2 linked regions of the Neurospora crassa OR74A genome follow. The protein of the gene in region 1 interacts with the protein of each later gene in a biochemical or structural test. Links are inferred from orthologs where the notes say so. Each region holds a gene or a part of one and is shown in the gene's direction. Other genes may lie near its edges. The genes, in order: pkc and NCU03137.

Region 1 (4,399 bases):
GTAGTATGCATCCTAAGACATGGATGGGCACACCGTGACCGCCTTTCCTGTCGAGACTCCAAATGGGGTTTGTCTCCTCTGTCTCAAGTCGCCGTCATCATTGCCTAAATACTTGCACATCAGGACTTTTCGGGCGATGGTGTTCTCAAAAGTCAGGCGGTTAACATGTGAGGTCTTTATACACAGACCAACCTTTGAGATTTGTTAGTGCGAAACTTACAACGTCTTCTGACAAGGCAGAAAGAGGACATGATTTTCAGGCGGTTCTATTGGTCCAAACCGAGCTAGAGTCAGGTTATGAACAACAATTGATGGTGTCCCATACATATGTCTCGCACCAAAATTTGACTGTACTTATAGCGAGCAATAAGCAGGATTGGCGCCTACCTCTAGCCATCTTGAAAGTGCCATGTTAACAAACTTTTCGAGGGTGAACTGTTGACAGCATGTTCCTTCACTAGGACGAGTGAAAGAAAGTCGACTGCGTGATCCAAGTCCCCAAAGTGTGATTCGGCATGCCCAATCACAGCCCTCCAAACTCAAGCGGTTCAAGGTGCGCCACCAACTGAACTCAAGTGCACGCACCCGTTTCGATACTGCGCCCACTGACACCCCTCGGTCTCCGGGCTTCCAATCCCATGTCCCAAGCCCAAGTGCGGAAGGGAAGTCCTACCAGCGCCCTGCACCACCATTTCAACAGTCCTACGGTTCGGTATCAGCGCACCAGGCAGACCAGGCCATCCACTCCCGTCGTGACGGTGTCGTATAGGTATCGATGTGTGGAGGTGCCCATCTTCTGTTCGGGTAGTCATTGCCTGTGGCTGCCCAACAGTCTGTCTGTGTGAGCTGTGCGTGATATGCAAACAAAAGGGTTCCATTCCAAGAGGGTCGCTGCTGTTAGTGTTGTTGACTGTTTGAAAATGCGCCGATTCGGAACCATCTGATGCCAAGACGAGGCTATCGTAGATTTTTGTTAGTTCCCAAGAACCACCCCCCTTTGGATGATGGGGTGGTAAAGAACACTGCATGGAATGGGCTCGTCGCGCCTAAATTCAAAGAACAAACGGGGACTGTTGGCCTCGAGATTTCCCGCTTAGTATGTGCGGTTCTCGTATATCCCTAGGTGTATTAGATTTCATTGTTCTCGTGATGATGGATATACTAAAGAATGAAAGACACCTAGCGGGCGAGGTACCTGACTGGGAACCGGAAGTCCAGTCGACAAATTGAAGTGTTGGACTTGGACCAAAACCACGCGATCCCCGCCTCTTCAAGGGGAAAAGTGGACGTTGCTAACAAGGAAGTGACCTGCCCGCCTTTGCCCCGAACTGCCTGTGCGTACTTCGACCGCTCAGCGTGCAGTACCAGGCATCGTCGTCTCTCGTCTGGATGCCCACTGGCTGTTTGGCTCGTCGAATCGACAAGGGCCGCCGCCGCCAAACCTATGCGAAACACACAAAACCCCGCCATCGTTAGCATCATACCTCTCTCTGCAGTACCTGCTAATCTGCTGCCACCTTGAGCCTTTCCATCTTGCACATTGAAGCCTCCTCGTTCAGTCCCGTCGAAAAAGGCAAAACCCGCCTTTTCTCTCTGTTAATGCTAATTGCTGCCCCGCCGCCACTATCTCCTCCATTACCTACCTACCTACCTCTACCTACCCGACGTCTAGGTCCAGCAGCGTAGCACTCCAATCAGTGTCTGCCTTATAAAGTGTCCATAGCACCTAGAGGTACCCTCGACCTCCATCCATCCCTCCTGGCTGGACCTCCTTATCCGTCCTCGCTGCCAAGTTGCCTTCCTGGCTCGCCTCGCCTTCCACCCGGGAAGTGCTCAACTTGACCGTCCATCAACAACCACCACGACGCATCCGTTGCATGTCATACTGGCATGCCAGCAGCATTTTAGTCGTCCGGATCAAATCCCGTCGTCCTCCCTCTCTCCCTCCCCCCCCTCCCCCGCTCTCCCACTGCCGACACCGACTCCGACACCGTCACCGTCGGACATTAGTATTGCCAGGAGCATCTTTACCTTTCATCCTCTCCAAAGTAATCCATCTCCCACCGTCGCCATCGGTCCGCCGGGCCCAATACCGCCACCATGAACGACGAAGACAAGGTCCACGACATCTCCAAGAAGATCGAGCGCGAAAAGGCTCTGATCAATGCTGCGCAGGCCATGCGCCAGCAGACAAACAATGAGCAGGTCCGCTCCAAGCTCGACACCCAGATGCGCGAAGGGAGGAGGAATCTCGAGTTCTTCGAGGAGAAGCTGCGCGAACTGCAGATGAGGAGACTCGGCCATGGCGTCGACAACATGTCGCTTGGTGCCAGCCCAATGTCCGGCTCCCACCGACAGTCCGTTGATGACTTCGAGGGCTACGGCGCCCCCTCTCCTCCCCCCAAGGAGGACGTACGCGGCCACAGCTCTCACCAGAGTCAGGGCAGCGGTCCTCTGATGCCCGCCTCTGCTCCTTATCCCGGTGGTCCTCCTGACTCTAATGTTCCACGGGCGCGTCCTAATTATACAAGGCTCGGTAAGTTGGACATCTTCCTTGGACCAGTCCCCCTTTAGACATATTCTGTGTGACTGACGTTGAGGGAACTGCAGATCTAATCAAGTTCGATACCCCACATCTTGGACCTCGCATCCAGCTGATGTTGTCCCAAATCCAGTTCAAGCTCAACGTGGAAGAACAGTACCTAAAGGGCATTGAGAAGATGGTACAGCTCTATCAGATGGAAGGTGATAAGAAGAGCAAGCTTGACGCTGCCGCCAAGCGTGTCGAAAGTAAACAAAAGATTGTCCTCTTGAAGCAGGCACTCAAGAGATATGAAGAGTTGCACATCGACATTGATGTTGATGGTCCAGATGGTAGAATTCCTTCCCCCACATGCTGCTTTCACCAGCACTCCTTTTACTAACTTTGAATGTGACTATAGACGACAGCATCAACCTGCCAGCCCTTAGGAAACCCCTGAGCGGTACTCTTTCTATTCGCATTCTCGCTGTAAAGGATGTCGACCATGCGCCCCTCGGTCGTTTCGCTCGCTCCCCCGAAACATTCATCGCTGTTAAGGCCGAAGATATAGTTGTTGCGCGCACAAAGCCTTCGCGAAACGACAAGTGGGAAGCCGAATTCCACACTTTCCCGGTCGATAAGACGAACGAAATCGAGTTTACGGTTTATGATAAGCCCGCCGAGCATCCCGTGCCTATCGCCATGCTCTGGGTCAGAATCTCGGACATCGTCGAGGAACTTCGCCGAAAGAAGATCGAGGCCGAAATGACGTCCGCAGGTTGGGTTTCGGCGGACCGCGTTGGCTCCAGAGCTCCTCCGCCGCAATTCCCAATGGGCGCCCAGAGTCCTCAGTTTGCGGCACCGCCAACATCCCCTGGATCACAGGAGCAAAACACCATGATCCCACCCCAGGCGCCTCCGCCATCCCAAGTTGTTTCACAGCCTGTAGACGGTTGGTTCAACCTGGAGCCTTATGGCCAGATCCACCTCAGTTTTAACTTCATCAAGGGGGCTCGTCCTCAGGGCATGGACAGGCTGGGTCGCAAGGGTGCTGTCCGCCAGCGCAAGGAGGAAGTTCACGAGATGTATGGACACAAGTTTGTCCAGAAGCAGTTCTACAACATTATGCGCTGTGCGCTATGCGGCGATTTCCTCAAGTACTCCGCTGGTATGCAGTGCGAGGATTGCAAGTACACCTGCCACACCAAGTGCTACACCAGCGTTGTTACCAAGTGCATCAGCAAGAGTAATGCCGAGACTGATCCTGACGAGGAAAAGATCAATCACCGCATCCCCCATCGCTTCATTCCTTTCTCCAACCTTACTGCCAACTGGTGCTGCCACTGCGGTTACATGCTACCAATTGGATCCAAGAAGAACTCGAGGAAGTGTTCAGGTATGTCGAGTTCGCCCCTGTTTTGGAGCCCCATATGCTGACAATTATGACAGAATGTGCTCTTACAGCCCACGCGCAATGCGTGCATCTTGTTCCTGACTTCTGTGGCATGTCTATGGCTGTCGCCAACCAGATCTTGGAGGGTATGCGAACGCAGAAGAAGACTCATAAGGATAAGGCGTCCTCGATGAGTGAGCGTACCCTTAGGCCGGGGAGCAAAACTTCCATCTCGTCCGGGTCGATCGCTCAGGCATCGACGTATAGCGGTTCGACTGCTTATACGTCAATCGCTTCGCCCGAGGCAACTGAGGCTGCCAAGCTTATGTACAGCCAGACAACGCCCAGGCCAGGCGGCCCCGACAGGACCTCTACCAGCTCAACAACCGCCTCGGCGGCTGCGGCTGCGGCTATGGCACCAAAGCATAGCTCTCAGCCTTCGCAAGCCGGTTCGATACCCGACTTTGGTGGTTCCCCTGGCTATG
Region 2 (4,461 bases), on another chromosome or scaffold:
ACCGTTCCCGTCACTGCAAGTACTATGTAAGCCGGGTGGCGACTTGCACAAGACTGAAATACAAAGTCCGTTGCCTCGGACGGATCTCCGGATCAGCCTGCCATCTTCACTAAATCCCATTGAGAAGATGATCTGGCCGTGAAAGGTGCCTCTCAAAACACTATGCTTACTTACTTTATACATATGTTGTAGCCTGCCTTTAGCTGGAAGGCAACTAACTATAAAGCATCACACCATTTTTGCTTGGGGATAGGGCTCTACTCATCAAATCGATCCGTTACGCCTCCGGATTTCCCAACAAATATCACCACCGACCCCCAAGGACTGAGGACGTACTGATCCTCAGCACCGGGCAATACGCTCAGGCTAAGATTGCCGTCCATAACCCCTTACGGTACTACACGTCTTCCAGGCAGCTGGGGTAAGGCTCTGCCTTGTACTGTATGCGGGATGAAGAAAAAAGGCGCTGGATAAGCCGTGGTATCCCCAGAGGCCTCGCACCTTTGTAGATAGTGTATGTATCTTGTCTCGCCCCTTGGGCACAGTTTGGTGTCACCAGGTGTACCCGTAAGCCGATAGAAACCCGGGATACACAGCGAGAGTTGACGTTCACGGCATATCTCAACCCAGCTACCTTCAGAGTAGACGGCTGCAATACCGCCGGGAACAGACAATGGACACTCAGCGAGCGACTGCTTCTTTTTTTTTTCACAACGACAACCGCTTGTTGACGGCTCGTTGGATCACTTAATAAACGTCAGTCAAACGAGACTGACAAGGTGAGAATACGAAAAAGTTCCATTTTCAAACTCGCGGTGTCAGTGTCAGTCAGCAGGACATCAGGGGAACTTGAAGGGTACCTGGTAGTCCAGCATAACAAACATCCCCGTGACCGCTTATGACACCAATTTGTGCGGTTGGATTGGCCAGCCGTGTTAGCTCGTTGCAGACCGCCGAGGTACCAGGCTGGTAAATGACTATATTGCCGTCTTACAGGGTATCGCTAGAGACTTGCACCAAGTCGGTAAAGTGCGCGTGGGTTGATGATGGGGAACAGCCGGTGCAAATGCAGTCTTGTGCCTGTCTGCTGCCCTGACAAGAGGCCGAACTCATCAAGACAGAATTAGATCTGATTGTTGAGAAGGGAACCGCCCTCGTGATTCTGGAAGGTTGGGCGTTGGGGATGATCCCGTTTCTCATTCCGCCTCACCGGGTATGTAGAGGTGGATACCTACCTACGTATTGTCTGGTAGTTCTACTGGTTTGTTGTTAACTTGGTACCTAGGCACTCACTCGTAGAACACTGAATGAAATGTCTTCCGAGATGTCTCCAACCTGTTAAGGACTAAATGAATGGCTGGATATAGATCCAAACGGCATCCATAAAATTCAATACGGTGTAATTTAGCTCGGAAGAAGCATAATCGCCGCTTGAAAACCCACGGGGAGGTTGACCCGAGGTCTCGAGCTAACTTTCGTACCAGTATAGGTTGGACTGCACAACGAACAACCTAGCCGGTTCCTTAGTTCCTTCCCTTTTAGTTCTACTCGGCGGATCGCGATCCGTTCGCCATGCCCCAAAAAAACACAAAGTTTCTACAACACGAGCTCTTCAATTGTCGTGCAGATTTTGGTTCCTTAGTTCGAAGCATATGATTCTGAAGAAAGGGTTTGAACGCCCCCTTCGGACTTTTCACACAGTGTTTTACCGTACTGCGCATAATCAATCCACTCCCCAAGCCCAGCATCCCACTTGGGTTGCTACCTTCCTTGTCTTTCACTGCTTGAACCGCGGCAGACGTTCGTCATCAGATCCGCATTCACTGGGCAAAGTCCCCCAACACGGCGCATTCCTCAATACTTTTCTCCCGGCATACTCGCACCACCAGACGGGAAGTGAACGAGTCGGATTCACTCACGCACACCACGTTGAGTAACCATCCATTCGAGACGACAGAGCAATTGAGGCCGGGTGGTCAGAGCCTAATATCTCCCTACGCATATCGGGCGTTCATCCGGCCTTCCCGACCTCGCCCAACACACTAGAGAACCCCTACCGGTCGCCTACCGGTCGCCTACTCGAAGTCGAGAATCGAGATTGCGGTCGACATTACATAACCGTCCAGACCGCATGTAGCCTTGCCATTTGACTGCCCCCCCATATACCGACATAACCAACAAATACCCCCTCCCTTTCCCCTTTGACCATCAAGAGGGACACATCCTTCTCGACGACAGAACGAGTTGCGATTGCCTACCATGCAGTACGTCAGGAGTCTCGGCGACTCTGTCTCTACCGCCTGGAACTCCATCAACCCTGCGACCCTCAGCGGTGCCATCGACGTGATAGTCGTTGAGCAGGAAGATGGCACCCTTGCATGCTCTCCCTTTCACGTGCGTTTTGGCAAGTTCTCGCTGTTGCGCCCATCCGAAAAAAAGGTCGAATTCAGGGTCAATGGCGTCAAGCAGGACTATGCCATGAAGCTGGGCGAGGGAGGCGAGGCCTTCTTCGTCTTCGAAACTACAGACACCATCCCTCAGAGCATGCAGACGTCGCCCATCGTGTCGCCCGCCTCTAGCCCCCCGCTCAATGCCGACCAGTCAGGGCCTCTACAAGAACCTGAATCACTCGATCTGAACTCGGTAGAAGGCAAAACCCGTTCTTCGAGCTTCAACCACAGGCCTCCTCCCACTGCTCTACTAGCACGAGACGGTAAGCGCTGTGTCCAGCTTCCACGCCGCCATGATCGACATATACTGACAAGCATGGGTTATAAGGGTTGCTCACACCTCGTTCCGTATCACCAGATCCTATCAAGGGTGAATGGTCTCCGTTTCGCCCACATAGCGATGGCCTTCTGCGGCAGTCAGCGCGAAGAATGCCAAGCGATGGCAGCACCCACGAAGGTTCAGAAGAAGGCGATAGCCACACCGAAAGATCCCGCAGCCCGCCGCCGCTTACAGCACCCGAAGCTCTTCAAAGGGCAATGAACCTCTCCCGAGAGCTCGCCGCCGCCAATATCCCTAACCACATCAGCGAGACCGGAGACCTCATGTTAGATATGACTGCGTTCAAAAACAATGAGGAAGACGCCTTCCGGGCTGAGATCCTTGCGCGCAAGATTCTCACGGAGGAGCTTGATGGCAACTACGACATCGGCGCACTTTTTGGCGTTGACGAGCATGGAAACCTTTGGATCTACAGCAGCATCGAGGCGAAGGAGGCCGCCATGAAGAGGACGATGGACCCCCTACGCTCTGCATCTCACATGGGCAACATTGATGCGGCTTCTGACCCTGGGTATCAGAGCGATGCTAGCGATACCTCAGCCGCCACGACTCTACCGATCCACAGGAGAGCTGACTCTGATGTCGGCCAGATGACCCTGCAGACACCCCCAAGCTCTCCCGGCAGTTCGGCAGCGGGCGATCCCAATCGGAACTACGCAAAGACCTTGAGGTTGACTAGCGACCAGTTGAAGGCCTTGAATCTGAAGCCCGGCGAGAACTCAATGAGCTTCACCGTGAACAAAGCTACCTGCCAGGCTTACATGTTTTTATGGAAGCACGAGGTACCCGTGGTCATCTCGGATATTGATGGAACCATTACAAAGTCTGATGCGCTTGGCCACGTGCTGAACATGATCGGGCGCGACTGGACGCATGCTGGTGTAGCCAAGCTGTATACTGATATTGTAGCCAACGGGTACAACATAATGTATCTGACGAGTCGGTCTGTCGGCCAGGCCGACACTACACGAACTTACCTCGCAGGTATCGTTCAAGACGGGTACCGTCTCCCACGCGGACCTACCATTCTCTCACCCGACCGAACCATGGCGGCTCTCCGTCGCGAGATCTATCTCCGCAAACCACATATCTTCAAGATGTCCACGCTTCGTGACATCCGCAACCTCTACGGGCCCGATCGCACACCGTTTTACGCCGGGTTCGGCAACCGTTTCACGGACCAAATCTCGTATCGCACGGTCGACGTGCCCCGTAACCGTATCTTCACCATCAACTCTAATGCAGAGGTGTCACTCGATTTGCTGAGTCTCAACAAACTCAAGCTGAGTTACGTCAACATGACCGAGGTTGTCGACCATTACTTCCCACCTGTCACCACGCTCATCAAAGGCGGTGGCGAGGATTATACGGATTTCAAGTATTGGCGAGACCAGCCTTTGGATCTTGACGAGTTCTCTGCCAGTGACACCGAGGACGAGCGCAGCGGTGGCCGAAAGACATCTGCTCCGGCTGTTGTCGATGATCATGAAAGTGAGTACGAGGAGGATGACGAGGAAGAAGTTGGCGACGGTCTTGTGGACAGCTACATCTCGAGAAACTCGGTGGATGATTACGAGGAAGGAAGCGTGGCAAGTGAGGATGGGGATTATGATGCAGAGGATGATGGCGAGGATGATGGAGAGGATGGTGAGGAAGAGGAGGGAGAATATG

Evidence for each region.
Region 2: of the proteins of pkc (region 1) and NCU03137, one has a biochemical effect on the other in vitro, tested with the Saccharomyces cerevisiae proteins (3 studies listed by BioGRID). The link is inferred for Neurospora crassa OR74A from reciprocal best matches to the Saccharomyces cerevisiae genes PKC1 and PAH1.

Annotation. Positions count from the first base shown.
Region 1 is NC_026504.1:1,589,351-1,593,749, forward strand, and holds the start of pkc (protein kinase C-like protein), read left to right. Parts: upstream 1-1,454; 5' UTR 1,455-2,100; coding exon 2,101-2,536; intron 2,537-2,610; coding exon 2,611-2,874; intron 2,875-2,942; coding exon 2,943-3,917; intron 3,918-3,970; coding exon 3,971-4,399. UniProt on the Saccharomyces cerevisiae protein: Required for cell growth and for the G2->M transition of the cell division cycle. Mediates a protein kinase cascade; it activates BCK1 which itself activates MKK1/MKK2.
Region 2 is NC_026501.1:4,687,186-4,691,646, forward strand, and holds the start of NCU03137 (nuclear elongation and deformation protein 1), read left to right. Parts: upstream 1-1,603; 5' UTR 1,604-2,259; coding exon 2,260-2,713; intron 2,714-2,778; coding exon 2,779-4,461. UniProt on the Saccharomyces cerevisiae protein: Mg(2+)-dependent phosphatidate (PA) phosphatase which catalyzes the dephosphorylation of PA to yield diacylglycerol. Required for de novo lipid synthesis and formation of lipid droplets.